4 linked regions of the Kluyveromyces lactis genome follow. The protein of the gene in region 2 purifies or fractionates together with the protein of the main gene of each other region. This does not show direct contact. Links are inferred from orthologs where the notes say so. Each region holds a gene or a part of one and is shown on either strand. Other genes may lie near its edges. The genes, in order: HRR25, TSR1, ENP1 and DIM1.

Region 1 (8,669 bases), on a different chromosome or scaffold from region 2:
ATAGTAAAACAAAAGTCTTGTGCTTGAAGCGCATGCGAATCATCAGCAGAGAAAGGCTTAATATTAGGCTTTGTTAAACATGAGTATTAAATCTGGATTTGAAAAAAAAAGTAAAAAGTAATGAAGGATGCGAGGTTCGAACTCGCGCGGACAATTGTCCAACAGATCTTAAGTCTGCCGCCTTAGACCACTCGGCCAACCCTCCAATCTTTATGAAAAAGTAAATTTTTTCCATTTATACTGCATAGAAATTTAAGCACAGCTTAGAAGCGTCAATTCGTTTATATTAGAATTAAAACCATAAACACCAAAAACAAAATCGTGAACGTAGAATAATGTTGCTTTCACGAGTGGATATCTAGAACATTCCACCATCAAAAGTCGGTGACTTTGTGGATTCTTTTTGGCTCAAAATGCAGAGGCTTTTAACAGTGAAGAAATGCCTTAGAATCTTAAAATTGTCATTTGAACTCAGCTCAGCTCATCAACATTATTGAACACAGCAGTGAATTGAATCTGGTTTTCTCAGCCTCTGACCGAGTTTCTTTTTTTATTTTTTTGTATCGGCTGCATTACTTCAGTATAATAAACCATATAACAGTTTAGGTAATATAAATCAAATACCATGGCATATTTGGCAACATCATCGTCAGTGGGAACCAAATGACTATATTAGCTGAGTTGCTACATAAATATTCAGTTGAATTTCAATACAGCTGTACTTTTCAAGGTGCTCCTTTTTTTTGCCATAGTATATAAGAGAGTATGAGTGACAGATTTTAGAGTATAGGTTCCAATTGCATACGAGTTCCTCGTATGCAATTGAGATTGAAATAAAACTAAAAAAGTCTCTGAAGCTTTTTATGTCAGCTTGAGTAGTCAATTAACAACGAGTTGGGAACAATTGAGTTCTTTGAAAGTCACAATTGAACTTGGCGGACTACTGTCCCAGATATCTTACAATAAATAACCGTCAGCAACAATCAAAATGAATACGCTATCAGAATATTTTGGAACTAGTCATAATGCATGACCGAGTAATACCGATATAATAGGCGGATAGTGATATCGGCATTTTCAGTCACGTGTTGTTATTTCAAGATCTTTGGTATCTGATGAATCCATAGTGTTTATTAGCTATATATCTAGTAGTGAATGTTGATGCACCTGGCGATCTGGCATGACTGTGTTGATGGTCCTTGTTCAGATCTAATGCCTCCTTATATAATAATTCAGATTGGTTAATGATGTTTCAACTAGAAACAATCCTTATGTATCATCTTGATACTTAACCGCCTATTACATTGGTAGTTACCCGATCATAGTTTATGATCCGTTTCAACACGTCTGGCTTGTCTTAAGTCTATCTTACGACATTCTGAAATATATTGGAGGGTTGGCCGAGTGGTCTAAGGCGGCAGACTTAAGATCTGTTGGACGATTGTCCGCGCGAGTTCGAACCTCGCATCCTTCATTACTTTTTGTCAATTAATCAGGAAAGAAGTAGTGCAGTGATTTCAATCAGAATCCCATTGAAAGCAGATTCCGCCGCTAGATGTTACGAGTACCGTTATTTTTGATACCCTTGTCTAGCCATTAATATTATGTTTTTCTTTTCGCACGATGTTGTTCTAGTTTTGATCGAATGTAATACTAATAAAAAAGTGTTGTCAGAAGAATATCAATAAGTGATGGTTTCCAGCTACCGTCATATTCAATAACTATTTTACTTTGTTTACCTAAAGTGAAAAAGAGCTTGTACCATTTATATACATTAAGACCATTTTACCAAAAAGTAATGAAGGATGCGAGGTTCGAACTCGCGCGGACAATCGTCCAACAGATCTTAAGTCTGCCGCCTTAGACCACTCGGCCAACCCTCCAGTTTTCTGAAAATCAAAAAAGTTTTAGACCACACATATCAGGCTCGCAGTGCATTGTGTATGTATATGTGACTTCAGAAATTGGCAAGCAACTCAACACAACAGAGGTAAACGCAGAGGAATTCAGAATGATATGACGAATTCACACTCTGATATAAATATGCTACATGCGGATAATATGAGGTTACTATGAAAATCAAAAGCGGAAATATGCGGCTTGTTACTATTACAAATGTCCGTTAAATCTTTTGTACTTGATTACAGCATGCTCTATCAATTGATGTGCGATAGCTGTATCACCAGGGAAAGTGATCCTGTCATCAAAATTTACCAATCCCTTTGGTGCTTTACCGTACCTTTCAAAGGCCTGAGACACAAGTTCCATCTCGAACCATTGGGCATCCAACAATTCTTTATCATGTTCTAAATTAATTATCTCATTGTCACCATTAAAATCGATCAAACCAAGGCAACCAATCATCAAGTTGCAGGGATACGGCCAAGGTTGCGTGAAAAGGATATCCACATCATTTAGTTCAACTTTAATACCAGTTTCTTCCCATATTTCACGCTGGCAAGCGTGCTCCACAGTTTCTGCAGGTTCCATGAAACCAGCGATGGTGGAATACATTACCGCGTTACCGTGCTTTCTTCTTGATCTTGCGAGACATATTTTTGAGAAACATCTGTCTACGATTGCAACAATGACCACTGGATCTGTTCTTGGGAAACACACATTTGAAACAGCTGCGTCCCTTACCGAGCATTTAACAGATTCGTCGTTATTTCCACATTGTAATTTGGTTCCACCATGGACAGGAAATACTTTCGATGCACATCCGGGACAAAACAAAAACTTTCTCAGCCAATCTAAGTACATGTTTGCATGAGAGAAGAGCGAAGCAACTTCATTGCTTAGGTTGAATGCTTGCATCCTCCCAAGTGGTTCGTATTGATCTAGTATGAACTTTGTCTCCGACTTTTGAACTAGAGTATCGGACGCTGGCCGCAAATCCATGGCAAACAATGGGGTACCGGTGTACTCCTTGTAAGAAAAACTGCTGTCACCATCCATCAACCCTAAAAACGTTATTGTGAACCCGGATTCAACTAACCATCCTCTCTCGGTATCCATGACAGATCTTATCTTGTTTAGTAAGCCTGGCCATTCCGAGTAGTTAGGACAACCTTGATGTCCTAACATTAATAAATTGGTACCAGACTTGTCACTAGTCTCAGTTGCGAATGCTGCCCCATTGATAAACGGTACAAACTGAGTACTTCCATGTTCGAACGCTTGCTTGATGAAAACCTCGTCGTCCCTTAGGAATGACACTCTATTGATAGTTTCCAATCCGAAAAAGGTTACACTTCTTTCCATATGTACTGCGCTATCAGGCTAACCACACTATACGGGTACTAAATTGATCGAACTCCAAGTACAACAACCTCTCCAGCGATCAAAACGACAATGCGACTAGGTTGTGCACTGAATATACACGTATAAATCCAACTGTTCCCGGTCATTATGTGGATGTGACTGCAAACCATGCTTTGGAAATTACCCTACCATATATCACGTGATCATAAGTTTCTACTATCCCCTTCGTAGAAAAAAGAAACACTATTATTTTTTGTACCAAAAATTGAAATTGAAATCAACTTAACCACAATTAATCACCATGTTTGATATTTCATTGGTGGAGTTAGAGCATTAGACGGAGAATTTAGTGGGCCATTTGGTGTCATAACACAGGTTAACTGATACGGAAACTCAGATATCAAAGTATAGTTTCAAAACGTCCATCTTTCCCCAACTATATACTTAGGAATTTGACCTTTTTTTTGGTCTCTGTTTTGGTTTATTTTTTTTTTTTTTTCATTTCAGAACTTCAGGTTTAGTTGCAGAATTTCCCTCTCAATTTTGTGAAGTTGAGAAGCAATAAAGCAACAAGCAACTGACATATCTCACTGTACGTTTGTTTCCAGTTGAGTTTGATTATAGGATAAAAATATCTTACTTGATATTTCTGGTATTTGAGCTTGTACATGAGAACGTGGATATAAAGACTTATTTTGAGGTTCTGCGGTATATATACTTTCATTTGATTAGAAATATTGAAGGTAAGACGTGAACAGGAGAAGACAGACATAAGGAACGAAAAAGAAAGATGGATTTAAGAGTTGGTAGAAAGTTCAGGATTGGGCGGAAGATTGGCTCTGGTTCCTTTGGGGACATTTATCATGGGACTAATTTGATTAGTGGTGAAGAAGTCGCTATTAAGTTGGAGCCGATTCGTACGAAGCATCCTCAATTAGACTATGAGTCTCGAGTTTATAAGTATTTGAGCGGCGGTATTGGAATACCATTCATCAGATGGTTTGGGAAGGAAGGTGAATACAATGCTATGGTGATCGATCTTTTGGGTCCGTCTTTGGAAGATTTATTTAACTATTGTCATAGGAAATTTTCTTTTAAGACCGTAATCATGCTTGCTCTGCAGATGATCTGTCGAATCCAATACATTCATGGCAGATCTTTCATTCATAGAGATATTAAACCGGACAATTTCTTGATGGGTGTCGGAAGACGTGGATCCACCGTGCATGTTATTGATTTTGGTTTATCCAAGAAGTATAGAGATTTTAGAAGTCATAACCATATCCCATACCGAGAAAATAAGAACCTTACTGGTACTGCACGTTATGCCAGTGTCAATACGCATCTTGGGATCGAACAAAGTAGACGTGACGATTTGGAGAGTTTGGGTTACGTGTTGATATATTTCTGCAAAGGGTCCTTACCATGGCAGGGGCTCAGAGCCACGACAAAAAGACAAAAATACGACCGTATCATGGAAAAGAAATTGTGCATCACCGTCGAACAACTATGTCAAGGTTTACCTATGGAATTTGTTGAATACATGAGATATTGTAGGAACCTCAGATTCGATGAAAGACCAGATTATATGTATTTGGCTCGTTTGTTCAAGGATTTGTTCATCAAGTTGGAATACCATAATGATCATTTGTTTGATTGGACCATGTTGCGTTACACAAAAGCCATGATCGACAAACAAGGAGGCGCCCAAGCATTGGAACAAAAAGATGAAAATGGTAATAAACAGGATTCATTTGATAAAGTGAAACAATTGGCTATGAAGAAATTTTCAACACATTTCCACTATTGGAAACCAGATGATACTTCTCATCCAACTGCTGAAGACATAAAACAACAGACTATCCTAAACACCCAAGTTATCTCCACGATCCCAGATGAAGTCATGAATGCTATCGACAGAAACATGGAACAGTTGAAGCACGAAGTGAACCAACAGGTGGCGTCTCAACCACAACAAGGACAACCACAAGGACAAACTCAGGGACAAGGACAAACTCAGGGACAAGGACAACCACAATCAGGTCAGCAACTAGATACACAGTTACCTCAACCTACCACGTTACTACAACAGCAAAGGGCACAAGTTCAAGGTCAACAAGAACAGATGTTACAACAGCAACAACAACAACAACAACAACAGCAGCAACAACAGCAGCAACAACAGCTTCTGCAACAGCAACTGCAAACACAACAACAAACGCATCCAAATGCAATGGCTATCACCAACCCACTACCAAACCCTAATAACACCACCAAAACTACCACTACCAATAATATCTGGCTTTAAACGCAAAAGACGAAAACAATGCGCAAACAGTTGCAAAATCTGTAGAGTAGAAAAAATCACACACGCTCATACATATATACAACTCATCATCAGTTAATCATGGGCTTCTAACCCACATTGGTTATAAATTATAACTCGGAAATCTGTTACCTAATTCACACTTATATTTCTTTCTTATATGTACTTGAATAGTGGAACATGGGGGAGAACACACACAGGGATTTTCTCACCAACATGAGCAACCATGAAAGTAAGCTGGTTACTGAATCGGCAGCTGACACAGGTTTACGGTACTCGCAGTTCACAGCTCATTGTTGCTGCTGCTGAAGTTTCCCTCCTCATCCTTGGCAAGGCCATTATCGCAATATACGAATTCCACTACTAAATATCGAAAAAGGGTTTCTGTTCCTCACATGAACAGTGAATTGTGAAAAACTAGACCAAAGGAAAACTAACAACAAAAGGAGAGTCAACTGTGGTGAGAAAAAGAGAGCAATCTAGGGCGCATTGAGTCTTGAAAAAGTGCAATATCCATATAAGACTATCAGTCCAAAGCTATAATTAAGGCAAAAACTGGTTTGTCCCATTTTGTACTGTTTATTCATTAGAGTAAACTAGGGGATTTTGACCCCAAGGGAAAAGGAAAACAAGAGGATGGAATATCAGCCTGTGAATTTACAACAGATGAATACTGCTCCAGCTCCTGCAACCAATCCTGTGAATCCGGCGGATGTGACCGTGGGTTCACAATCTACCGATTATTTATTGGCTCAGCAGAAGGAATCGTTGTTGCCTCAAAGGTCTACTGTGTCTAAGGGGAAATATACGTTGCATGATTTTCAAATCATGCGTACATTGGGAACAGGGTCATTCGGTAGAGTGCATCTCGTGAGGAGTGTGCACAATGGACGTTACTATGCCATCAAAGTTTTGAAAAAACATCAAATCATTCGAATGAAGCAAATTGAGCATACGAATGATGAAAGACGGATGTTAAAGCTGGTTGAACATCCTTTCTTAATTCGGATGTGGGGTACGTTCCAGGATTCTCGTAATCTATTCATGGTTATGGATTATATCGAAGGTGGTGAATTGTTCTCGTTGCTCAGAAAATCCCAACGATTCCCCAACCCTGTGGCTAAGTTTTATGCAGCAGAGGTGACTTTAGCTTTGGAATACTTACATTCTCATAACATAATATACCGTGACTTGAAGCCAGAAAACATTCTATTGGATAGGAATGGGCATATCAAGATAACGGATTTTGGGTTCGCCAAAGAGGTAATCACAGTGACGTGGACGTTATGTGGTACCCCTGATTACATTGCTCCTGAAGTAATTACAACGAAACCATATAACAAGTCTGTTGACTGGTGGTCTCTTGGAATCTTAATCTTCGAAATGCTCGCTGGTTATACTCCATTTTATGATGTTACGCCAATGAAGACCTATGAGAAAATCTTAGCTGGTGAAGTCGTTTATCCACCATTTTTCCACCCTGATGTTGTGGATCTATTAGGTAAGTTGATCACTGCAGATTTGACCCGTAGATTAGGTAACTTACAAAGCGGGCCAGATGATATCAAATCGCATCCATGGTTTGCGGAAGTTATATGGGAAAAGCTTGTGGCAAAGGACATCGAGACGCCGTACGAGCCACCAATCGCTGTCGGTGTCGGTGATTCCTCTTTGTTCGACCAATATCCGGAAGAGCAACTGGACTATGGCGTTCAGGGCGAAGATCCATACGGCCAATACTTTTTAGATTTCTAACGAAATCTTCAAAGAAAAACATAACTCATAATCGATTCATTTTTGAACGGATCGTTCGTGAAACTACCTCTTCTTTTTACTTTGTTATGTCGGTCGGATTGCGTTTATATATATATATCTTAATCTTAAGAGTTTATATTAATATATTTTTGGTTATTATTATGTACAGGAAAATGAGAAGAGAACTCGTTTTGACATGGGGAATTTACATGCGTGAGGTGTTCGACGTATCTGTCTATTCCAAGACAATCTTGGCACCTAGCCCTTCCAATGCAGCCTTAACCTTGTCAGCGTCTTCCTTAGCGACGTTTTCCTTCAAAACCTTTGGAGCACTTTCCACAAACTTCTTAGCTTCAACCAATGACAAACCTAACAAGTTCTTAACTTCTTTGATGATCTTAGGCTTAGACTTGGCATCAAACGATTCTAACTTGATGGAGAAAATAGTCTTCTCTTCAACGACTTCTTCTTCCTTGGCTTCTTCAGCTGGAGCAGCTGGGGCAGCTGAACCAGCACCAGCTGCTGGGAACGAAATATCTGGGATGTTCAATTGAGTCTTCAATTCTTGAATCAAAGCAGAAGTTTCCAATAAAGTCAATTTGGAGATATCTTGAACGATTTGAGAAATCTTTGGATCAACCGCAGCAGCTGGAGTAGATGTACCAGCAGTCGATTGATAACGAACCAAACCTAATCTACAACTGTTCCTTGCAAAAACGCCGGATGATCTTACCACTTGACGCAACATTTTTTCTTTTATATTATTCCCAAACCCACCTGTGATAAAAACTGCTGTTCTCGGTTAGATTCAAGATGGAGAACTAATCGTGAATGTCAACAGTACAACTCCACAATCTGTTTAACCTGTTTCGATTGTTCAATGGAATTGTCTTTAGGTTTAAAGCTTTTTTCCCAAAATTTTTCAGCTAACAGATGATAATCGTACGGAGTGATAGATGCTGCTAACACTTTTCGACATTTGAAAAGCTTCGATTGAGAACTAGGAAAGGATCCAGAATTTGAGCCATGGTTTTGATAGGAATAAGAGTGTATAAGAAGTGACTCTGGTTTAAGTGGGGTCAAAGTTGTTTGTTTTGTGGTTTAAAAGCAACATATTGTTGTGTACTTGTAGTTTTTAAGAGAAAAACGGTTAATTTTTAGTGGTTTCACTGGATTGAAATACTCCAAGAACCGGATTTTGTTAAGAGAGAGGAATAGACAGACGATAGATAGTTGATAAAAGATAAAAGTGTATCATAATGACTACGTTCAGATTTTGTCGTGATTGTAATAATATGTTATATCCTAGAGAGGATAAAGAGAC
Region 2 (5,599 bases):
CCTAATTGTAATTCCACTCCAGAATCATCGATATGAACCAGCGCATAATTGGAATTGATGTCAGCCTCCGCTTCATCAGCCCCGTCTTCACTAGAATGTAATTCTGCCGTCTGAATAATGGATTCACTATTTGCAAACGTTACTGGCGATACGGATGAAGACGTGCCATGTTTGGCTGAACTATCAGAAACTGCTGCTTCATCTAGTGAAGAAAAGTCATAAAACTGCGATATAGCTGCTCTTTCTGCCTTTGTTTCATACGGTAGCATGCAATGGTGTTTAGATGACATATGTGCCCTTATACTTTCAACTGATGATCCTTGGTATTTGCAGCAAAGACAGTTCTTGTTGACGATAATGATGTCGGTCAAATACTTAAGTAAACCGGTCAAATCGGTCAAGTATGAGCGTTCAGGTAGGTATAGTCCGTGCTTATTAAACATATGTCTAACATTTGCTTCAACTTGTTTCGAGTTTTTCCCACAGTAGATACACTCCGTAGAACTAATCCTTTCGTGGTCATTTCCAATCTCTGATTCATCAGATGATTCATGATCGGTGTTTGAATAATGTGAATAAGAATCCTCGGTAGTGAAGCCATGATCTGAAAAGGCCTCTTCTTCAAGATCAGTACTTCTGAAAGTGGCTCTAGATGCATGTGATGTAATAGACGATGCTGGTGACAAGGATCTCAAATCTTGGCCAGAGTGTTGAAGACCCTCTAATCTACTCCTTCCTAATTTTCTTCCCTTTCTCTGGAATCCGCGGGAGTGGTTAATAGGTTTTAATACTGGGAAGCCAAACTCATCAACTTGATTTAGTTCCTGTTCACGATTTGACATTTGCAACTTCTCAGCAAATAAACTGGCACTGATTGGAGCTAGTTGGGCTACTCTTCTTTTCAAATTGTACCTATGCCATTCTGTCTTCATATGATGACGTTGCAAACCACTTGATTGGAACTGGATCATGCATGAGTTGCATGTAAACATAACAATATCGCTCATCTGATAGTATATTTCTTCGGTGCTTCTATGTTAGGATTCAAAACCTACTTTATTGCACTTGGCTTGCTTTCAAGAGCTTACAAATTGAGTGTCAAATACTAAATATGCATTCTAATGTGCATAGAATTATTATTTTTATTTTTATATTGCTTGAACAAAACTGTACGAAAATCCGGAAGAGTTACAAATCTCGAGATGGAACCGAACATCAAACAAATTACTGAATATAATATGTACTAAGTGCCAATTTAAGCCTATATGTTTTCCTACTCAATCAACACCATATGTATATACATGAACTACAGGAGTTTATCTGACCATGGTAGTGAAGCATTTGGCCAAACACGCTTATATAGTGACATAGCAACAGTGTCTTGAGCCGAGAGTCTCCCATCGAAAGTAGCTTTGAAGTAGCCATGCGTACCCAAACTCTCTTTGATGAAACCTGATCTTCCTGATTTCGTGAATAGTGGGATCGACTTGAACCATTCGACATCTTCTGGTCTGAAGAACATGTAACGGATCGTGACAAGTTTCTTGTGGAATTTGAAAGGATGACCAGTCAAAACAATTCTCTTTGCCATGATACGGGTGTGATCAGCGTTCAAGAAACTTCCGTGTCCCACCAATTCTATACCCTTAGGGTCTGTAACAGATGTTTTGAAGAAAATTGCTGGTGATTGTGTAAAATCTACAGGAGCAATGCAAGTTGCTACTGAAACATAGTTTTGGTGTAAGAATCTTTCAAACTTATGCACGTTATTTGGACTAGTGGATGCAGAAGAGAACAATGGTTCTATGGTGTATCTTCTAATACCGTACTGTACGATGATTGGTTCAGAAGAAGGAACAGGGCTATCATACTCTTCCCATCTCTCTATCGAGAAATTTACTACAGCATTTTTATGTTCGTGTTTCAACAAGCTGTAAACAGCGAAAACCTCAGTCTTTGGATCGGCTAGCTTTTCTAACAAAAACTTAGGAATATCAATGTACAACTTTATTATATCACCAGCAACTACTTGGGCGGACTTAATTGCTTCCTTGTTCAACTTTTTCATAGTGTTCTTGTAATTTCCAATCCTTAGCACACGTTTCCATTCGCTTGGACAGTCGGGGTCTCTCTCGTCAACTTCCCAACTACAGTTGTGCAAATTCTTCAACCCCCTGTAGCTTTTAAGCGACTCAATAGCAGATTCCCGTGGGTCAAGTTCAATTTCGTCAGGAAATTCGAGATCTTCCTTTTCTTGATCTCGATATTCTCTGAGTTGTCTTTCTTCTTCCTCTGGAGATAGATCAACAAACATATCTTCTCCACCAGCTTCAGTTTGAGTGTCCATTTCTGATTGAGCTTGCTCGGTATTGAATGTATCTACATCGTCTACCATCATTTCATCCTCTTGTATTGGCACGTTCTCATCTTGAATCTCTTCAAGTTCCTCCTCGTCGCCTATTTCAATGACGTCATCTAAATACCATCTTGCTTGATATTCAGAGGTCCCCTTGGGAAGCTTCACCTTTTTCGATTCTTGTTCTCTGCCTGGTAAGAACCCATGATCATCATACCTAGCAGCAGTTAAGTTCTCATATTCGAAACCATCCTCGTAATCTGACCATTCGTCCATATTCATATCTTGAGCTGCGTATTCTTCCAAGATATCACGTTCTTCTGATGGCAAAAATTCCGTGCCTTCTTCTGTAGACTTATTTCTTCTCGCTGAGGCTGCCAATTTCTCTATTTTGGAGACTTGGAAATCCCCCATTCCTGGTATGTGAATGAGTCTATCAATGTTAAAGCCTGCCCCACGCACTATACCTTGTACCACTAGATGTCCTCTGTTTTCAGAGCTTTCTATGAAATCTATGTTGTCGGCGAGTAAGTATCCCCTAGCATCTCTCCACTTGACAGTACGAGGATACTTTTGACATAATGTTCTGATGGCATTGATAGCTTCGGATGGTTTCTCCAAGTTATAAACAGATTTTTCGTTAGGGAAGAAATGTGTAAAGTAACTCTCTAATGATTTCTTAACATCTAGTTGGAACTTTTCCTTTGGATGTACTTGTGAAAGATTCGAGACTACACCGAGGTAGGAGGAAATACCTTGGAATTCTAGAGATCTAATAATTTGTTCACCGAATTCACCATCCACCTCAGATGTACCACTTAACCCAAAAACGACGAAATCTGCCACTTTAGCACAGTCTAAAATGTTGATGAAATTGGACATATCTGGAATAATCACTTGAAGAGTAGTTTTAAACTTATTGATTCTGAAATTAGTGACACTCGGCATCTTCAAATCGAATTCTAAGTCAGATTCTGTTTTGCCGTCATTTTCGGCGGATAGTATCAATTTCTTAACGATATCATCTGCATATACATCTGCTGTTAATGGAATGACAGTGATAATCTTCTTCGCACCATTGTTTCCCTCGAATAATTTCTTAGTCTCTAGAGTATCTAGTATTTTCTGGTGTCTCAATTGTTTAGAAAGGTTTTTCCTCTCTAATTTAGAAACAGATTTATTTGACTTACCATTCTTGGCTTCTTTCTCAACTTTTCCTTTGAACGCGTTCTTCAAAGAACCTTTAGAGGCATGCTTGGACTTGAATGGTTTGTGACCGTTTTTCACCGATGATCTATGCGAATGACCAGCCATTTCGAACAGAAAAATTGCAAAGGTCTCGTAAAAATTTGAAGATCAAACAAACAGCTTTTTACTGTTCTTCCTTATGTTACTTTCTAATATGGTTGTTGACTAGTTGCGATAAAAACAAGGAAAATAATCCAATTTAACCTGTTCAGCATTTTGTGATGAGCTTAGATGAGATGAGCTTCACTATTAAAATTTTCAATGTACAACTTGTTACGAAGAAAATCGTCAACAAAGAAGACAGACAACAAAAAAAAAAGAAATGTGAAGCCTGTGACTGTTTTGGAGGCAATACATCCGTGCATCTTTTTTATTCTTTTCTGTTTCTTTTCTGTTGAAGATAGATTTTCATTCGTGGTAAGAAAATTCCTTATATGGTAAAACATTTTTGTTACTATCCGTCTTGGTGATGGAATTTGCCAGGTTAGAGCAAGTTTCACCAAACTCAGGTTCTTCAATATTAACAAACTTAAGATTGATTAACTGTACCAAATGATATAGGCAATTAATACTCATTTAAGAGCTAAAGAAAGCATACACAAACAAGAGATTCAAATCGTATGTGGAGCACAATAAGATCTTATGAGCGCTGTGCGAACTATGAAACGTTTAGGGATTAAAATGGACATCTATGGGAAGGAGCAGGACTATGCATGCTGGATAATGATGAGAAAGAATATTCAATAATAATAACAATGGAGGCGTGATCCCTATAATGAATAGGCATTAAAATATTATAGTATTGGAAGAATAGTGATCAAGAATACCTACACATGTTTAGAGACAAGTTCCAAGAAAGATGTAATGGCAAAAGAATGCATAGGAAAGACAAGTACTGTCAGAAGAATCATACTACATTTTGTTTACAACAATTATAGGAACGATCAAGATCAATTTCAATCTCCCTGATTCAAAGTGAATGGACAAGAAATGGAAAATTACTTGATTTTTGAAATGATTTAGTTTACATATGGGGGAGATTTACTGGATCCCAAACGTCCGCAATATTAAAAGCAGTCGCTCACGATAAAATATCAGTTGACGGGTTTTATTCAAAACCCATTTTTACTTGATATTTACTTTTTACTATATTGGAAATATTTTTACTAACAAATTGCAATTTATCTTCTTAACAGAAAATGGCTCACGAAAACGTTTGGTACTCCCACCCAAGAAAGTTCGGTAAGGGTTCTCGTCAATGTCGTATTTCCGGTTCCCACTCTGGTTTGATCAGAAAGTACGGTTTGAACATCGATCGTCAATCTTTCAGAGAAAAGGCTAACGACATTGGTTTCTACAAGTACCGTTAAACCTTTCCCGATTTCAATCAATGGGTTACATATTTCCCGTTTTTATTGTTTGTAATTTAAAGGAATAAAGAATATTATATCTATTCAAGTTGTCCTATAACCTTTGTACATAAACCGTTTGTTTCTTTGGTTTGTAGCGTTCCCCAGAAAACTTCTCGCAGTTATGCGGCTATCTGATGGCTCCTTGACCATAGTAGAACGAACATAGACACATCTCATCAGCCCTAAGCAAGCATCTTCGAATCGAAATTTCTTCTTACCCGGTCTTCGATAGTTTGAAAATTTTGTAGAACAATTAGTGTATATAAAAGACACGGATTACTTTTAGGACTTAGTATGTTAGCTATAAGTTGAATGGTTTCTGAAGTCTTTTATTGTTTAAGAGGCTGAATCAAAAATTTTACCGGAAACAATGCCACAGTTGGCTTACTGTCATCTAACAGTTGCTAATTGCCAGTATTTCAACAAGATTGAGATGCTAGTTTCCCAGATCAAAATCGACTGGATAGGAAGTTCGTGGTTTGTGTATCGAGCCATCAAAAAGATTTAGAATGGTGAGGTGATGAACCAGGAATGTCGAAGAAAGACGACATTATATATTAACCCCATTTCTCTTCAATGAGTG
Region 3 (8,545 bases), on a different chromosome or scaffold from region 2:
AAAAGTAAGATCAACGAGAAGCAGAGATTACATGCTAGAGAGTTGATTGTCCCAAGAAGGCCTAAGTGGAATGAATCTATGACCAGATTTGAATTAGAAAGGTTAGAAAAGGAAGCATTCTTGGAATGGAGACGTAAATTAGCCTATTTGCAAGAAGACAACGAGGATTTGTTATTGACTCCATTCGAGAGAAACATTGAAGTTTGGAGGCAGTTGTGGAGAGTTGTTGAGCGATGTGATCTAGTAGTCCAAATCGTGGATGCCAGAGATCCATTATTATTCAGATCCACAGATTTAGAGAAATATGTGAAAGAAGTGGATGACAGGAAACAGAATTTACTTTTGATCAACAAAGCGGATTTATTAACAAGAAAGCAACGTATTATTTGGGCCAAGTACCTTCTCTCGAGGGGCATCTCTTTTACATTCTTTTCTGCTGCCAAGGCTAATGAAATATTAGAGAGACAAGAGGAACTAGGGGATGAATACGTTGAAGAAGAGGACGATGAGGAAATACTGGCTACAGAGGAAGAAATTGAAGAACTTGATGGGGAAGAAGTGAACAAAGAAATTCTGGATAAAATTAACATACTGAAGATCGATCAACTTGAAGAATTGTTCTTAGATAAAGCGCCAAACGATCCGCTACTTCCTCCATTGCCCGGTCAAGAGCCAATCATACAAATAGGTCTAGTGGGTTATCCAAACGTTGGTAAGTCTTCCACTATAAATGCCTTGGTGGGTGCCAAGAAAGTTTCTGTCTCTTCTACCCCTGGTAAGACCAAACATTTCCAAACTATCAAGTTATCTGATAAGGTAACGTTATGCGACTGTCCAGGTCTAGTTTTCCCTAATTTTGCATACAATAAAGGTGAATTGGTGTGTAACGGTGTTCTACCGATCGATCAGTTACGTGACTATATTGGGCCATCGACATTAGTGGCAGAAAGGGTCCCTAAATACTTTTTGGAAGCCATTTACGGTATCCATATTCAGACCAAATCCGTAGAAGAGGGTGGGAATGGTGAAGTACCAACTGCACAAGAATTACTCGTTGCTTATGCCAGAGCTCGTGGTTATATGACACAAGGTTTTGGTGCCGCAGATGAATCTCGTGCCTCTCGTTACATTCTCAAAGATTATGTGAACGGTAAACTCCTGTACATTAATCCACCGCCTCACATGGACGATGATACGCCATATACCAGAGAAGAATGTAAGGAATTCAACAAAGATTTATACACGTTCAGTAAATTACCTATCAACAGACAAGAGCAACTTGCAGAAGCTGCCAAACACAAAGGTATACAAGATTTGGATCTTGCTCGCGATTTAAGTCGATTAACGTTCTCTGCTCATATTGGTGGTGATGGTGATAAAGTACAAGCTAAATCTGTCAACCATGGTGGTAAACAAGCAGCCTTGTACAACGTAGCTGATGAACTTGACAAAAATTTCTTCCATTTGAACGGTGTTCAAGGCAGACTTACGAACCCTTTCCATAAGCAAACCGTCGCCAACGAAAATGGTAAGAAGCATAACAAGAAGAACAAGAAGAGTAAGAAAAAGGCTTCCATGTTTTCCGATTAATGTAAGTACTATCTAAATTCATCCTAAACTCTTATATATATATAAATCCACTGTTTGCACAGTCTATTATCCCCATTCATTATGGAAATGTAACTGCATATCCTTTATATCTTCCTTAGCTGCCCTGCTTCCGGTTATAAGACCTATGGTTAGCATGCAACTTGTCACTGCATTACCCGGTGTTTACTGAAAAATTTGATGAACCAAAAGAAAAGGATACAAAACTTGGTTAAAGTTGGTTTACTTTATACTTGACCTCAGTACATGGTCCAGTTGATAAGTATTCTTGTCATTTGTGGTTATCTTTTTGGTTCCTAGCTCAGCAAACAAGGGCTCTTAAACACATTTCGGCATGTTCAATTATGGTTCGCGTTGTGGTTATCATGGCGCAGACTTATTCCACGCATGTAGAAGTAAGCTCAAGATGCCCAGAGCTGGGATACTCCCATTTAACGCCCTTTTCGCTAACAACAACTGAATTCCTACAGTTTGTAGTTTGATAGTAGGTGGGCGGAAATATTACCCATTTAATTGGTTCAGTAGTTTCCTCTGAAATATTATGAGAGTCGTATGAATTTGTATATCAATAAGATTTAGCAATAGTTAACCAAGTTCAGCCTTATGTTATACTTACCATCGGTAGATACATTAAGTAGCACTCGGTCCACTCTTTCTTACATGCGCTTTTGTAAGGGTTGGCAAGGGTCATGCTTCAGAGTGAATGACTTTCATTCAGACAGCTCTGTTATTTCTTTGATTGAGGTTTGGGATAATATTTTAGTGACATAAAACAAAATGTAATATAGCCTTTAAAATAATACTTAGTACAATTCCAATCACAAATAAAAAGGGATAGCGCCTCGTTAAAGGACATTAACTGACGGAATATGACGACAGATTTAGACACATTAAGTGATCAACTACGCAAAAATTATTACAGGGACCTTTCGCTCTTTCAAGATGACGAAGACCCTTTTTACCATTATCTTATATCTACAAAACTGGCCACAAACTTAAATACCGTGAGAAAACTGGCTATAAAGGATAACTTGGATGATCCGTCTTCTGATGCTATTGATAGATACCAGAAAAACTTTAGCAGACTAGAGGAATCGGTTAGCTCTATCAGTTTCTCCAAAGCTTCTAAGTTGCAACAGAAATATGATGCATATCAGGAATCTCAAAAGAAAAGGCGATATAGTGTTGATTTCGATGCAACGCCCGACGTGCCTATAGGAGATGAGGACGATGTTGATATAATATCCAATGTTGAAGCAATTAATGACAACGATTCTTTGAAGGAGCTCCGCCAAAGGCTTATGGGTAAAAGAAGGGACAGCGCTGATACGGAGGGTGAATCATTTGACAAACAAATGCAAATTCAGGATGATCTTCAGAAGGAACTGGTTGAAGACATGTCCCAGCTAGTTTCAGGCTTAAGACAAGGTGCGGAAGCTTTCCAGAATGCTATCGAACACGACTCTACTGTTCTTAAGGCAGCAGAAATCGGATTGCATGTTACTTCTAAGAGCCTTTCTTCACTCGGATCCAGATTGAAAAAGTATCACAATGAAAAAATTGGATTTTTAATGAAGTTAGGACTTTTATCGTTTATTATAATTGGTCTATTGGTCACCTATCTTGTAATAAAAGTATTTCCAGATTTATGAGTGTCTTCCGCTAAAATCTCCAAGATTTAGATAAAGGCTCTGCTTCACTCAAAAGCTTCAAAGTACAAAATAGACTCATGAATATTCGATGAAATTAATTGATACCGTTTCCACTTATCGAATAGATTGATTCTATTGATTGTCTTATCTATAATTGCATATTATACACTTGTTTAAAATTGACAGGCACTTATATTGTTATAGGACTATTGACTACAGAACATCAAACATTAAATCAGCTTTATTACCAACATCACTGACAAATTCTCTACTATCACCGGCTAATAATTCTCTTCTGATTTCAGGTCCAATTTCTTTGTGACCTCTTTGACGAACAGTTTCAAGTAGGAAATCTCTTTGATCTTGGGTAATATCATTCTTATAACGTTGAGCAAACGCTAAGAAAGCTTTATGCCATACCACAGGTAAGACTCTGACGGCATCTTGGCCTGTACTTCCATCAGTGACTTCTCTGAATCTCATGAAGTAGAAGACACATTCGTCAACAGTTTGATAAGGCAAAGCATACTTCTTCTCGAGTAGAATTTTGATGAAAACGGTGGTGGCTGGGGAAAAAGGTAATCTTAAAAGGTAGGACAATGCTGCAGCAGAATGAAGAGCTGGCACAGAGACCTTGGATAACACACTTGCAGCAATGGTAGCTTCTCTAACATTACAACCGGATTCCACAAGTGGGAATAAGAACCCTTTGAAAAAGGCAGCCGGTTTATACAATGATTTCTTTAATGCACGGTAGACATGGTAATTTAAGTTGTGATCTTCGTTAAATTCAATTTCTTCTCTGAAGCGTGGTAACAACACAGCTATAACGAATTTTTGGGCCTCTTTAGATGATAAGTTAGAAACAAAAAGTTTAGTACCTTCGTATATAGCATGCGGAGACCATTCCTCTGGATTAGTAACATAGAGAACATCTTGCCAGTTATTTAGAGAAGGCAAAACTTTGAATAGTTTGGGTAGTTTACCATGTCTCCAGGTCTGCATAATGGTACCAACGGCAAGGTATGCTTGAATCACCTTGGGTGGTAAGGCGACACCTTCTGTACGATCTACAGGTGCAGCTGGTTCCGCTACTGCAGAGGCATCACCTGCTTCTTCTTCATTATACTGTAGTTCCATCTCTTTTTCTCTAATAGAAGCCATAATCTTATCGGCAAGGTTATATGATCCATTGGCAGAGTTGAAATCAGCAGAAGTCTTGAAATATTGGTCAAACATTTCAGCATCTTCTTCGTCAATTTCTACCACTTCTTCCTCCTCGTATCCTTCGAAATCGTCTTCATCTTCCGGTTCAAAGTCAGATATGTTATTACCTTGAGCTTCCTCTTCCTCAGCTACATCATCTTCATCCGCATAGTTGGCCACACAGAATCTGTTTATTCCTTGGCTGGATGTCTGCAGAGACTGCTCGTCCTCTTCCTCTAATTCTTCCTGCTGTTCCCTAGCTAATTGCAAAATTTTTCTAGATTGCTGGGCATCGACAAATTCTTCATCTTCATGGCCTTTTTGATCCTTAGCATCGATCTTTTTCTTACCTTGTCTTTTCAACTTACCATGTTGAGAGTCAAGATCGTTCAATAAAGGATCGTGTCTCTGTTTACGACCGCTGCCACCCATTACTTTACCCATTTTCTCCGTAGAACAAATAAATCTTGTATCACTAGTCGTATTCTGAGCACTAAAGCAGACACTAATGAGTAATTTTGTGATTGTTATCTGCCATTTACCTCATCTCATCTCATCTCATCTCATCTCATCGCTTCTCATCTCATCGTTACTTATTCAAATCCCAAAAATTTTCAGTCAATGCACGGACAGAAAAAGAAAGGCTAGAGATACTCTGTTTAGAGAAGTCAAAGGTTCAATTAAATAACTCTGGAGCATTGGCAGCGGGATCGTCGTGATTGAAACAGATATGCCACAGCGTTGAACACAAATTCAAGCTACTGTAAACAGCCAAGAGCTATGTTCTTCTAATGATTACAGGCAAAGAATGTTGTTTGTTTTGCACGTGACTTTAAAATCTGGAAAGATTTTTCAACTGCAGCTTAGATTCGTTTTACGTATATATAATTAACAATGGATCAAGTGTAATGTGATCTCATATGCGTGGTGACACATTGCTGGTCTCTTGTTCACTCAAGCTTCTCCCTTGAGTTGTACTTATCGATTGATCAAAAACCAAGTGTTCATTTCCGTTTTTTTCGTTCCTTGCAATCTTAGCAAAGTTACAATTAACATTAGACTAGGCCCTTCCAATTAATCTTTTAATTGACCACCAGTTACTGAAGAAATCATGTCTAAAAGATCTTCTAGTGTAGCGAACACTCCAGTTAAAAGGAAGCATTTACACTCTACTTTGAATCATAAGTTTGTTAGCATCAATTCTCAAGATGATTATAAACATTTGTATAGATCTGTTGTTCCACTTGACATTTTTGTATGGGGAACTGGATCAATGTGTGAACTAGGCTTGGGTCCTCTAGCTAAAAACAAAGAAGTTAAGAGACCTAGACTCAATCCCCTTTTGCCCCGTGATGAGGCTAAAATTGTGTCTTTTGCTGCAGGTGGAATGCACACCCTAGCGCTAGACGCTGACAATAACATCTGGTCGTGGGGGACTAACGACTCAGGTGCTTTGGGTAGAGACACTAGCGGAGCTGTAGAAAAATTGAAAGATATGGATGCAAATGATAGTGATGATGATGAAGATGGTGACCTCAACGAAATTGAATCCACTCCAACTAAAATTCCTAGAGACTCTTTACCATTGGACGAATTAAGATGTGTACAGATTGCTGCCACAGACAATCTATCTGCTGCTCTATTTGAAAATGGTGACGTTTACGCTTGGGGTACCTTCCGTTGTAACGAAGGTATTTTAGGTTTCTACAGAGATGAGATTACCGTCCAGAAAACCCCTTGGATAATCCCTAACTTCTCCAAGAAAGCCAAGATTGTTCAAATGGCTGCTGGGAAAGATCATATATTGTTCTTGGATGAAACTGGTATTGTTTACGCCTGGGGTAATGGTCAACAGCAACAATTAGGTAGAAGAATTTTGGAACGTTCTCGTTTGAGAACTTTAGATCCAAGACCATTTGGGTTGGATAACATAAAGTATATTTCATCGGGTGAAAATCATTCATTTGCCCTTTCCACGGACGGTAAACTGTACTCGTGGGGTCTTAATCAATTCGGGCAATGTGGTATATCTACAGAATTAGAAGATGGGTCCTTGGTAAGTGTTCCTACTGAGGTCATTTTGCCAGAAGGAGTTGAAATCGATTCTGTTTCTGCTGGAGAACATCACACTCTAATATTGGCGAAATCTGGTGATTTATATTCTTGTGGTAGATTAGATATGTTTGAAGTCGGTATTTCAAAGGATAAACTACCTGAGTACACTTATAAAGATGTTCATGGCAAGGCCCGTTCTATTCCTCTTCCAACAAAATTAGAAGACGTTCCTTCATTTAAGGCCATCGCTGCAGGCTCTCATCACTCCCTCGCTATTGCCAAAAATGGTATAGTGTATTCCTGGGGATTCGGTGAAACTTATGCAGTTGGTTTAGGTCCTTCTGGAGATGATATTGAAACACCTACAAGAATCAAAAACACGGCCACTCAAGATCACAGCATTGTCTTCATTGGCTGCGGTGGTCAGTTTTCTATTTCTGGTGGTGTTAAATTATCTGACGAAGAAGCAGAAAAAAGAGCTGATGAAATGGATGATTAAAATTAATAAAAGTTATCTGTACTTTCATTAGACAGTATTTGTGTATCTATATATTTACAAAATTAATTAAAAAGATTACGCACTAGGTAACAACCTAAATGAGTCGATATTAATCGATAAGGTTACTCGTTATCAATTCTGACTTTTAAACCTTTAGAGATCAGGTAATCCTTGACCTGGTTAACAGTGTATTCTCCTCTATGGAACATACCTGCACCTAAACAAGCATCAGCCTTTGTCTTTGTAAATCCTTGTTCAAAGTGACCTGGATTCCCTGCACCTGATGAGGCAATAACAGGAATTGAAACGGCACTTTTAATATGATCGATTAATTCCAAATCGTATCCTGAGTTTGAGCCGTCTTTATCAATACAGTTTAGGAGAATCTCACCAGCACCAAGGGCTTCACATGCATGAGCCAATTCCCAGGCTCCTAGGTCTCTGGATTCTCTACCACCCTTGATTGTACATTGATACCAGCACCAATTTTGCCCCTCAGGATTAGGCGATAAAGTTTGGAAACATTTATTAGGGGTTTCGTTCCTATTGTTAACATAAACTCTTTTAGGGTCCACAGAAATAACCACCGCTTGTGCACCATAAGCTTTAGAAATCGTTTCAATTGGAGATTTTCCATCACCCTTTTCTCCGTTAGCATAGTACTTTTCTGCAGCAAACACTGCATCTGTACCAATAGAAACCTTATCAGCACCAGATCTGAAATACATGCCGGCCACATCTAAAGCCGGTACTTTTGTGCCGTCAACATCCACGACATCTTTGATACCACCTCCGACTGTCAGTGGTACAAACACAGTCTTGGCAGCAAGTCTTAGCACATCCAACATTGGAGTATCCTTTAATGGACAGTTTCTGAAACTGGTGATATTTAAGAAAGTAACTTCATCAGCACCTTGTTCATAGTAACGTTGTGCGAGCTCTACAGGTTTTCCCAAGTTTCTAACGTTGCCTCCTTCTGTTTTTTCACGGACATCGTATTGGTCCCCTTTGGTTACCACTAGATCACCTTGATCATTCGTACGGACATCGAGACAAGCAATTATTCTTCTTGTCAAACCAAAGTTTGTATAGTCATTCCCTAAAAGAGATTTTTGTTCATCTGTGTACTCTGTAACTGGGTGAATACCTTTCAAAAAGTTATCTATAATTTCTAGACCGGCCTTACCAGATTTCTCCGGATGGAATTGTGTAGAAAACACATTATCCTTGTGAATGGCGGCAACAAATCTTTCGTTACCGTATCTTGTCAAAGCAACTTTCCATCCCTTACTATGCAAGTCATCAAGTTGTACATCATCGACGATCATAGCAAAAGAATGAACGAAGTAGTACCTTTTATAAGGATCTAAACCAAATGAAAGATCGTCCTGTGGAATAATGGTATTCCATCCAATTTCGGGAACACTTTTACCTTCACTGATATCAAATTTGGACAAAGTACCTGGGATTAAACCTAACCCTCTGCTTGAAGGAGATTCAGAAGATCCATCGAAAAGCGCTTGCA
Region 4 (8,109 bases), on a different chromosome or scaffold from region 2:
CTAGTTTAAATAAACGACAATCATCGATTGGATAATGGCCTGTTTGCCTGGTCCTTATGGCCAAAATATTAAATTAAGAAGCGCTAGATTTATAAAACAACGTCAGTAGAGTCAGATTTCTCAGGTGAGTTAATCTTCAAATTACGTAGTGATACTTCAGTAGGATCTGCCAAATAATTCGAAGAGTCGATGGAATGCACGCCAATGTCTTCTTGATCATCAGCGATCATATTCTTCTCTTGAAGCTCACGCTCAGTAAATGTGTGATAATAATCGATTTGGTCAGTTTCACCAACTGTAGGCTTGAAAATAGTGTTAATGATATAGTAAAGGGCGAAGGTAACGGCGAATTGGAAAATGAACGAACCTTGGAAGAAGTGTTCAATACCTGTATTGATAGGAATGTTTGGGTTAGCCGCATTGATCAAACCAGGCAAACCCGGGGCCGCACCACATAAGAAACAAAGGATGTTCTTCCAGTTAATACCGTACTGAAACCAGTAAATTGAGGAAGGAGAATCATCGTAACAGTCGGATAACTTGATAACGCCCTTTCTAATGACAAAATAGTCACAAACAAACATTGCAGTTAATGGTGTGATGAAAACAGTGAACGAAGACATAACTGTGAGGAAAGTGGAAGTAGCATTATAGAATAACCATGGTTGAGTAGGCCAAGCCAACAACATGATCAATATTGAACCTCTTCTGATGTTAATGTAACGTGGGAAGATAGAAGCCAAATCCATGCCACCAGAGATTGCATTACTGATACAGTTGACACCAAGCTGAGAAATTAGTAAACCGAGACCTGCAAAGAAGGCAGCAGCTCTGGACTTCGGAGTATAATTTAGCTGCATCCAATACATGCAGATATCATTAGGCATCCAAAAAGACTCGCCGTATTTTTCTAATAAAGCAGAAGCAGTAACAATACCCATCAAAGGAAGCACGATACCCATTACGTTGACACCGATTAGGATACCGATGTAAGCAGATCTGGGCCTTTTGTTGAAACGAGAGAAATCGGATTGGTTTGAAATACCAGCGATAATGAATGAATACCAAGCATTCAAGTTTGTGATCCAAGACCAAGCAAGGTCAGAAGAAGAGGCTGTAACCTTTGCAGTTAACAATGGTCCATTGGAACCACCATTAATAGTCACTGCCCAGATGGTGATTCCCAACCCGACAAAGAACATACAGAAAGACCCAAGGGCCAAGATATGGTCGAAGTATTCTGGTCTAATCATAAGCACCGGAGTATTGATTACCAAAAAAATCACAAACCCAATCAACTCCTGTCTCGTCATAGGTACTGATTCTGGGAAGGTATTGGGCAAATTCAAATATGTTTCACTCCACGAGGAAATGATCACATTCACACAAAGCCCTCCTAACCAAGCTTGGGAAGCAAACCACACCACGGATAAGATAGCTCTGATAAGAACACCAAAGGATGACCCACGCATTCCAAAGATGATACGCTGGAACACAGAGTACCCAATATGGTACTCTGAGCCATACACTGAGTTGATGATGGCTGCAATACTGATGAAGAAATTTGCCAAAACAATACATCCAATGGTTTGGCGACCATTCATACCCGAAAGCGTCAATTCACCATCAGTGCCCACATCGTACAACAACAACGCTGACCCACCAGACCACGTACTAATACACAAACAAAGCAATGTCCAGTATGATGTAAAACCATATATACCCCATTTTCTTCTTGAAACAGGCATAGGAACTAAATCCTTATTACTAGTTCTGTCGGATTCATCCAACACCAAAAGGTTGTGCAACTTCCCAAGAACCCCAGCCATTACAAACTTTCAACAATCTTTAAATCCTGGTGTTTATTGCACTAGTTAAAACAATGCCTATGGAGCAGCCAAGTTAAGTACGAACGAATACGATGCGAAAAACGCACAAACCTTAGTTTATGTATCGTCTAGTATTTATGAAAAAGAACAGTCTATTACTGAGATGAGATGAACCGAATTGAAAAAGATATACTAAGATTTGATACAAAGATTAGGCAAAAACAAACATAGAAATATATTGTCCACCAAAACAACAAACAAATGACTACTTTTAGTCTGTGCCCCCGTTCAATTTCAGAAGTATTAACGGCTGCATGGTACAAAACTCGAGACATATACAGAACCACTAGGAGACCCACAGTTTGTAGGCAAGGCTGCCTTTATTCAAAGGTAAACATTTTTCGAAGGAATAAAGAAAAAAAATTTTCACCCAAAAGAAACGGACCCTCTACGGCCGTTAACAGAAACAAGCACCCGTCTCTGTAGGTTCTTTAAAGTTCTGAGTAAATCGTGCCATGCTTGCCGTGTTAGCTGGATTTGGTTTCTTAGTTTTATTTACCCAATCTACGATAATTGAATCATTTTTTTTTAATAGAGTAGAATGTAGTAACCAAATTTGGCCCGTGTCATGTACTTTATTTTTGCCCACATCAGACCAGTGTGAGTTTATTATTGTTTTCAGATTGATTTTCGAGCTTGCCTTTAGATTTTTACGGGGTTTGGTTTTCAAGATCAGCAGCCTTTGCACCATCATGTCTCCGCAGAATGCCGAAATATGAAAGTGGTGGTTAGTTGCGAGATGCATTTTTCGAGACGCATTTCCGAGAAATTGACTACCTATTGAGTAAGGCGAAAGGGTTCTGACATTTAAGTGCATTTAACAAAACTTACTGGCTGCATCTTTGAGGCATCTTTAATACTTGCAGAAGTTGTCGTGCTAGAAAGAGCCTAGGAGGAAGGTAATTAGTGAAATAGAAAGGACAACTATCTCAGATGAAATTAATGGGTTATATAGTGTACATATAGTTTTCTATTAGTGCTGACGCGAGCAGCTGTTTCAATTTCTTTAAGCAAAGTGAATTCCTACTTGGTGGAATCCATACAATAACTTCAAAAAATCCGTTTGGTCGCATTTACCAGCTCTCTTCTCAGCTAATCCGGTCTCGCTCAGTACTTGCTCAATCTTTTCCTTGACTTCATTGATTAGAGAATCTCCAGAAGAGGTTGTAGGTACTGCAGACTGCGTTGCTAGGAAGGCCTTGTAATTCTTTTCCAATATCTCAAGGACAGTAGTGGATTTGAATCCTGCTGCAATGGTTCTGTTTTTCCTTACAAACACTATCCGTAACAAACCGTCCCATTCATTAAAGTCAACTTGAGGTCTAGGGTTCTTGATCTCGATCCTAACTACACTTGATTCGACCTTAGGTGGCGGCCTGAAGTTGTTTTTTCCAACTTTCATTATATGTGTCACATTTGCCCACATTTGGACGTTTGCCGAAAGCCTACAGTACAAAGAATCCCCCGGTCTGGCCAACAATCTCATGGCAAATTCTCTTTGAAACATGAGAATAGATACCCGAGGTGGTTTTGGTTGGTTTATTAACTTGAACACCAAGGGAGATGAAATCTGATATGGGGTATTACTTATACAAACATCGAAATAAGGCAATTCGGTCTTCATAAAATCCCCTAACAAGATCTCAAGTTTCTTCTCCACTGGCGTTCCATGTACACGTTTCGTCAGCTCCGCTGCCATACGAGGATCGAACTCCACGGCAACAACTTTCCTTGCTTGTTCCAAGATCCTCACTGTTAGATTACCGGTACCAGGACCAATTTCAAGCACAATATCCGATGGCTTTATTTGAGCCTTGTCCACGATACCTTGAGCAACTAACGGATTCTTTAGGATATGTTGCCCTAAATCAGTGTTAAACTTGAACACCGTAGTCAAATGCTTCTCAGCATCCACTTCTTTACCTCCAGAACTTGCTCCACTGTACTTCTTTTTAACTGCCTTGCCCATCGTTTCAGTGGATATAATTGCCAAGATACACAACTGCTTAGCTTCTTACCAATGTTATGCGATCAATTATAGACGCTATAAAATAGTGTAATTAACCCAATACGACCCGTTAAATATCTCCGCTGAGAGTCGTGTTCTCTGGTCATTTATGTATTCGATGCGATGAGCTCTCAAAATTTTTCAACCAGCCTGAAAAAGAAAAGGTTCTTTTCAAAGGAAAAAACAAACCTTCAATAGGATCCATGCCATTCCATGTCAAGTTGATATATATTTACGTTCTTGGAGTTACATAATCTTGTCATCTGTTCTCATCGATGCAGAATTGAAGTTTCCTCACCACTTTGTTAGCATTAATATCATCTGTGGTCTTCGAAAAGACTTGATCCTTGTCGTTAACATGTGTTTCATGAACAAAGAAATCCTTTAATTTGGCGTTTCTTGGCGGAGTGATGTACTCTGGTAGCTTACGGGTATGGTTCAAGTGTAAATTAAGATGGTGTTCTTGACTAAAACCTCTATATTGGATTGTACCAGGAAACAACTCGATGTCCAAGTCTTGCAGTGGCGATATGGCTGTTCCGTTAGAGCCTCTGTTTTGAGTGGCCTGTGCTCGTACTTTCGCAAGTTTATTCTCATCTATATTCTCTAGTTCTTGCTCGTTCTCGTCGTGTACAGCTTTCCTTCTCAATGAGACGTGTCTCATTAAGGCCACTGCCCGATCTTCTTCCGATTCTTCATAAAAGGCGAATGATGAAGGATCGTCGTCACCCTTCTTCTTGGGTGACCCCCTTTTGATAGAGAAAACTTGTTTCACTGGACTCTTCTGTAGAGCCCGCTCCACGTCGAGTTTAGTCTTGATTCTTCTGGGTGAACCATGGCTTGATGTACTACCGGTTGGTTTTGTTATCGAGTTCCCAGTGCTTATTATGTTTACGTTCTTTGACGTCAGAACGGCTCTCTTCTTCAGTGGAGATCTGTGTTGTATCATCTTGGTTGGGTGGCAGGCTCTATGTAAAGTGTTCCTGGTCAGACACCTTAAGATAAGTAAAGTAAAGATTTTGATCCTATTGTTCTTTTATAAAATACCTGATGACACTTTTTCTTAAGTTTTGAGACCCGCCAAATTTCCGCTAAGTATAGGAAACGCGAAATCCTCGATGCGAAATAAGACGTGAAGCTATAAAATAGAGAACGGCCTTGGAAAGTTTTCTATTATCGAGTGAATGGAACTGATTAAACAATAGTTCATTAGTATTGAATGTTATATACTGGAATTATCGTTTAATTAGCGCTGCTTAATGAGTTTATGTAAGTTGTGTATGTTGGGCGCCAATCACCATTTTAGAAGTTCCTCTTTGTAGCGTATGAATAGAGTGGAGAATATGAACTTCTCCCCTTTTATGTTGTACAACGGTAAGTGCCTATACCCTTGCTTCAAATAATTCAACCGTACACACGTTGTTGCGATAGTTTGCGTGGAGTTCTTGACTGTAAACCGCACGAAGTTGAACGTAGTGTTTGTAAGTGTACACTCGAACGACGCATTCCACACGGGACTGAAGCCGTTATCACGGAAGCATTTTGTCGAAAATAGTTGCGGTGAACTAAGGACAGGTACAGATACTGCTGGAGGAGCAGATGGAGTACTGAGTATTCCGTCTTCCGCGGACAAACCTGAAATAACAGTGGTTCCATTACTTTCACAAAGTGGTTCAGTCTTACCGCTGCTGCCGTTGCTATCAACGCGCTTGGTTGAGGTACTAGTAATGTTAGCAAAAGTACCATTTGAAGCATTACTCATGCTAGTAATTCCGGTAGCATGGGTAGAGTTATTGGAAGTATACCCCATTGGCTGCAAGCAGTTGGTAAGGTGAAGTGATTCCATGGTATTGTCAGTAATGAGTTCGATTTCTACGAATGGTGCTAGTATCTTGCAGTTTTGTAAGGATAACATCTGGCCAGAAATTACGTCCAAATGGATATGAATCTTCTCCCGTTTGAGCCTTTCCATAATTACTGGAATGTCCTTCATTTTATGTATCTCTTTTCGCAAGTGAGCGGGCTTCAAAACATACCCAGAATGCCAGATGGAATTTCTATCTAGTGAAACTTGGAACATTGCATGGTTCAATTGTTGTCCCAGGTCATACGTCTGCCAGTTTGTTGCGACCATTTGTACTCCTTCTTTCCAAAATCGTATTGGGTTGAAATTGGAGGATTTGTACCGCAACATGTGCGGATAGATTCTCATTAAATGTCTGCGGTTATGCTTGTTGATAGCGAGTTTTTGAGTTTCATCTTTGTCAAGATTGATAAACTTCTTCTCACTTAGTGAGAAGCAATGCGTAGTGGTTTTTGATTCAGGCAACGAAAAGTTTCTGAATCTTACTCCGTGAATCCCAGATATTTCATGAACCTTGTCTGATATCATGATCTTTGTTGATAACAATAACGATTTGTTGTTTCTCTTTGTTGTCACTGGAACTGTTGTCGTATTTGGAGAAGTGCTACTGGTAGTACTTTTTTGTAAGCCCCGCTTCTTGATTAACCGCATGTCATTTGTTTCAGAAAGTGATTCATGAGAGGAAGAAGACGTATAGGATGAAGTTGATCCACTTATAATTTCAGACTCTACAGCATGCGTCTTCTTACTTTTCAATATAATGCGATTTTTCAGCTGCTCTGGTGATAATAGTGAAGTGTTTGGTGGAATTACGAATATAAGATCTCCCAAAATTTCCTTCATAATTTTCGTTATCATTAATTGGTAATCCTTCTTACAGTGGATCTCTAGAGATACAATAAGCGGATAAGGTGAAGTGATAAACGCATATTTTCGTATCGTTTTAACAACATCTTCTAAGGGGATTGACTGTGTGAAAAGACCATGGCATACCACAGGCCCATGATCTCCTTGCCATATGTCTATTTCGATACAACGGCATCCTTGTTGCAAAGCACGAGTATAAGCTTCGACACTTACCTCGTCCACCACTTGCTTCCCCATAAGATAAGTGTTATGAGATGATGATATGAAATATTCGTTTAGCGGTCTAGAATAATCTTCTTCGAATAATTGTAGGAACGGTTGTTTTGTTAAGAATTTTAATAAACCCTCAACATCTAAAAGTTCATCAGCGGTGCAATACTTTTTGAAAATCTTATAAGCATTAGTCTGTGATATTACTTCACCTTGAACGTCACATATGAACTGGTAAAAGCTTTGAAAGTCAACCACCTTAGTATCCTTATTTTTCATTTGATTCCAGATTATTTCAATCTCCGGCCTAGCTTTTAAGTACTTGACAAAATCTTGGAATTCGGGGAAATTAAGCAAACTGTTATTGTTAGTGTCCGCTTTAATGAAAAGTGCGTAAAGGTAGTTATCAGAACAGTAGATATGATATCGGTTGCAAAGTCTCTTCACATCCGCGAAACTTAACGTATCTTTGTCCTGGTCTTCTTTCTTTGTGGAAACACTGGTCTGCCAATGAATATTGGCGAATTGTTCATTGTTTGGAACTGCAATATCTTCCATTAGTTTCCTCCTAGAATTCACCAAATTTACTGTCGTTTCATAAAAAGATTTGAATACTGCAGCGTCCTCCGCAATAACATGTAAAGCCTTTAATCTGTTTTTGTTCACTGAATAGATGATAGTACACCAAAGGTCCCGTGAAGGACAAGGAACATTGTACATATCCATATAATTGGTAGCCATATCACCACTCCGTATATCTTTGATGGTATCAACGTATATCAGCTTTTTTCCGTTATTCCAACTTATTGTATTCTGGTCTATATGGAAGGTGTACCGAACACGTTTCCGTCGTGTCACCTTAAGTAGAGGCAAGTCCAATGGATCTGCCGAGAAGGACCCAAACCCAGAATCCGTTGACTCTAACCTGAGGTTGCTCGACAATGCATATGTGAGAGGGCCACCAAGTTGGGACGTCTTATTTTTGTTCGGGTTATTATTAGAATTTCCATGCCCATTAAAACTAGGTCTTCTAGAAAGAAAGCCCTTGATGCCCTTGTATATATGATCATACACAAAGGATTCCTCACTTCCCGAGGAGGGAGCAGTACTCTTCGAGCTCATATCACTATTGGACCCATCTTCCAAAGAAAGGCTCCTCAAAATGCTTTGTGGCATAATAGCCTGATGTTCATCATCCACATCGTTGAACTCAAGCCTCATCGAGGGTTCAACGAGACGTTTCTGACTTGTCATCATATAGCAGGAAACCA

What was found.
Region 1: the proteins of TSR1 (region 2) and HRR25 purify together in Saccharomyces cerevisiae (affinity purification with mass spectrometry; 5 studies listed by BioGRID). This does not show direct contact. The link is inferred for Kluyveromyces lactis from reciprocal best matches to the Saccharomyces cerevisiae genes TSR1 and HRR25.
Region 3: the proteins of TSR1 (region 2) and ENP1 purify together in Saccharomyces cerevisiae (affinity purification with mass spectrometry; 16 studies listed by BioGRID, with this or other methods). This does not show direct contact. The link is inferred for Kluyveromyces lactis from reciprocal best matches to the Saccharomyces cerevisiae genes TSR1 and ENP1.
Region 4: the proteins of TSR1 (region 2) and DIM1 purify together in Saccharomyces cerevisiae (affinity purification with mass spectrometry; 8 studies listed by BioGRID, with this or other methods). This does not show direct contact. The link is inferred for Kluyveromyces lactis from reciprocal best matches to the Saccharomyces cerevisiae genes TSR1 and DIM1.

What each region holds. Positions count from the first base shown.
Region 1 is NC_006040.1:261,707-270,375, forward strand, and holds HRR25 (serine/threonine protein kinase HRR25), read left to right. Parts: upstream 1-4,054; coding exon 4,055-5,572; downstream 5,573-8,669. Other genes in the region: NPY1 (NAD(+) diphosphatase), read right to left, coding at 2,110-3,264; cAMP-dependent protein kinase catalytic subunit TPK2, read left to right, coding at 6,227-7,345; MNP1 (mitochondrial 54S ribosomal protein bL12m), read right to left, coding at 7,581-8,093; DNA-directed RNA polymerase II core subunit RPB9, read left to right, coding at 8,605-8,669. UniProt on the Saccharomyces cerevisiae protein: Protein kinase which phosphorylates serine and threonine residues. Can use casein as a substrate. Phosphorylates elongator complex member ELP1/IKI3 on 'Ser-1198' and 'Ser-1202' which promotes the tRNA modification function of the complex.
Region 2 is NC_006041.1:450,807-456,405, reverse strand, and holds TSR1 (small subunit rRNA maturation protein TSR1), read right to left. Parts: upstream 3,671-5,599; coding exon 1,307-3,670; downstream 1-1,306. Other genes in the region: REH1 (Reh1p), read right to left, coding at 1-1,007; KLLA0_E05127g (40S ribosomal protein uS14), read left to right, coding at 4,804-4,974.
Region 3 is NC_006042.1:634,976-643,520, reverse strand, and holds ENP1 (snoRNA-binding rRNA-processing protein ENP1), read right to left. Parts: upstream 4,911-8,545; coding exon 3,474-4,910; downstream 1-3,473. Other genes in the region: ribosome biogenesis GTPase LSG1, read left to right, coding at 1-1,590; SNAP receptor USE1, read left to right, coding at 2,478-3,260; SRM1 (Ran guanyl-nucleotide exchange factor), read left to right, coding at 5,578-7,020; HIS7 (imidazoleglycerol-phosphate synthase), read right to left, coding at 7,143-8,545. UniProt on the Saccharomyces cerevisiae protein: Required for normal export of the pre-40S particles from the nucleus to the cytoplasm.
Region 4 is NC_006040.1:54,999-63,107, forward strand, and holds DIM1 (putative dimethyladenosine transferase), read right to left. Parts: upstream 3,859-8,109; coding exon 2,896-3,858; downstream 1-2,895. Other genes in the region: KLLA0_D00550g (nucleobase cation symporter-1 family protein), read right to left, coding at 90-1,829; KLLA0_D00572g (uncharacterized protein), read right to left, coding at 2,287-2,706; ACM1 (Acm1p), read right to left, coding at 4,157-4,846; PLC1 (phosphatidylinositol phospholipase C), read right to left, coding at 5,192-8,109. UniProt on the Saccharomyces cerevisiae protein: Specifically dimethylates two adjacent adenosines in the loop of a conserved hairpin near the 3'-end of 18S rRNA in the 40S particle.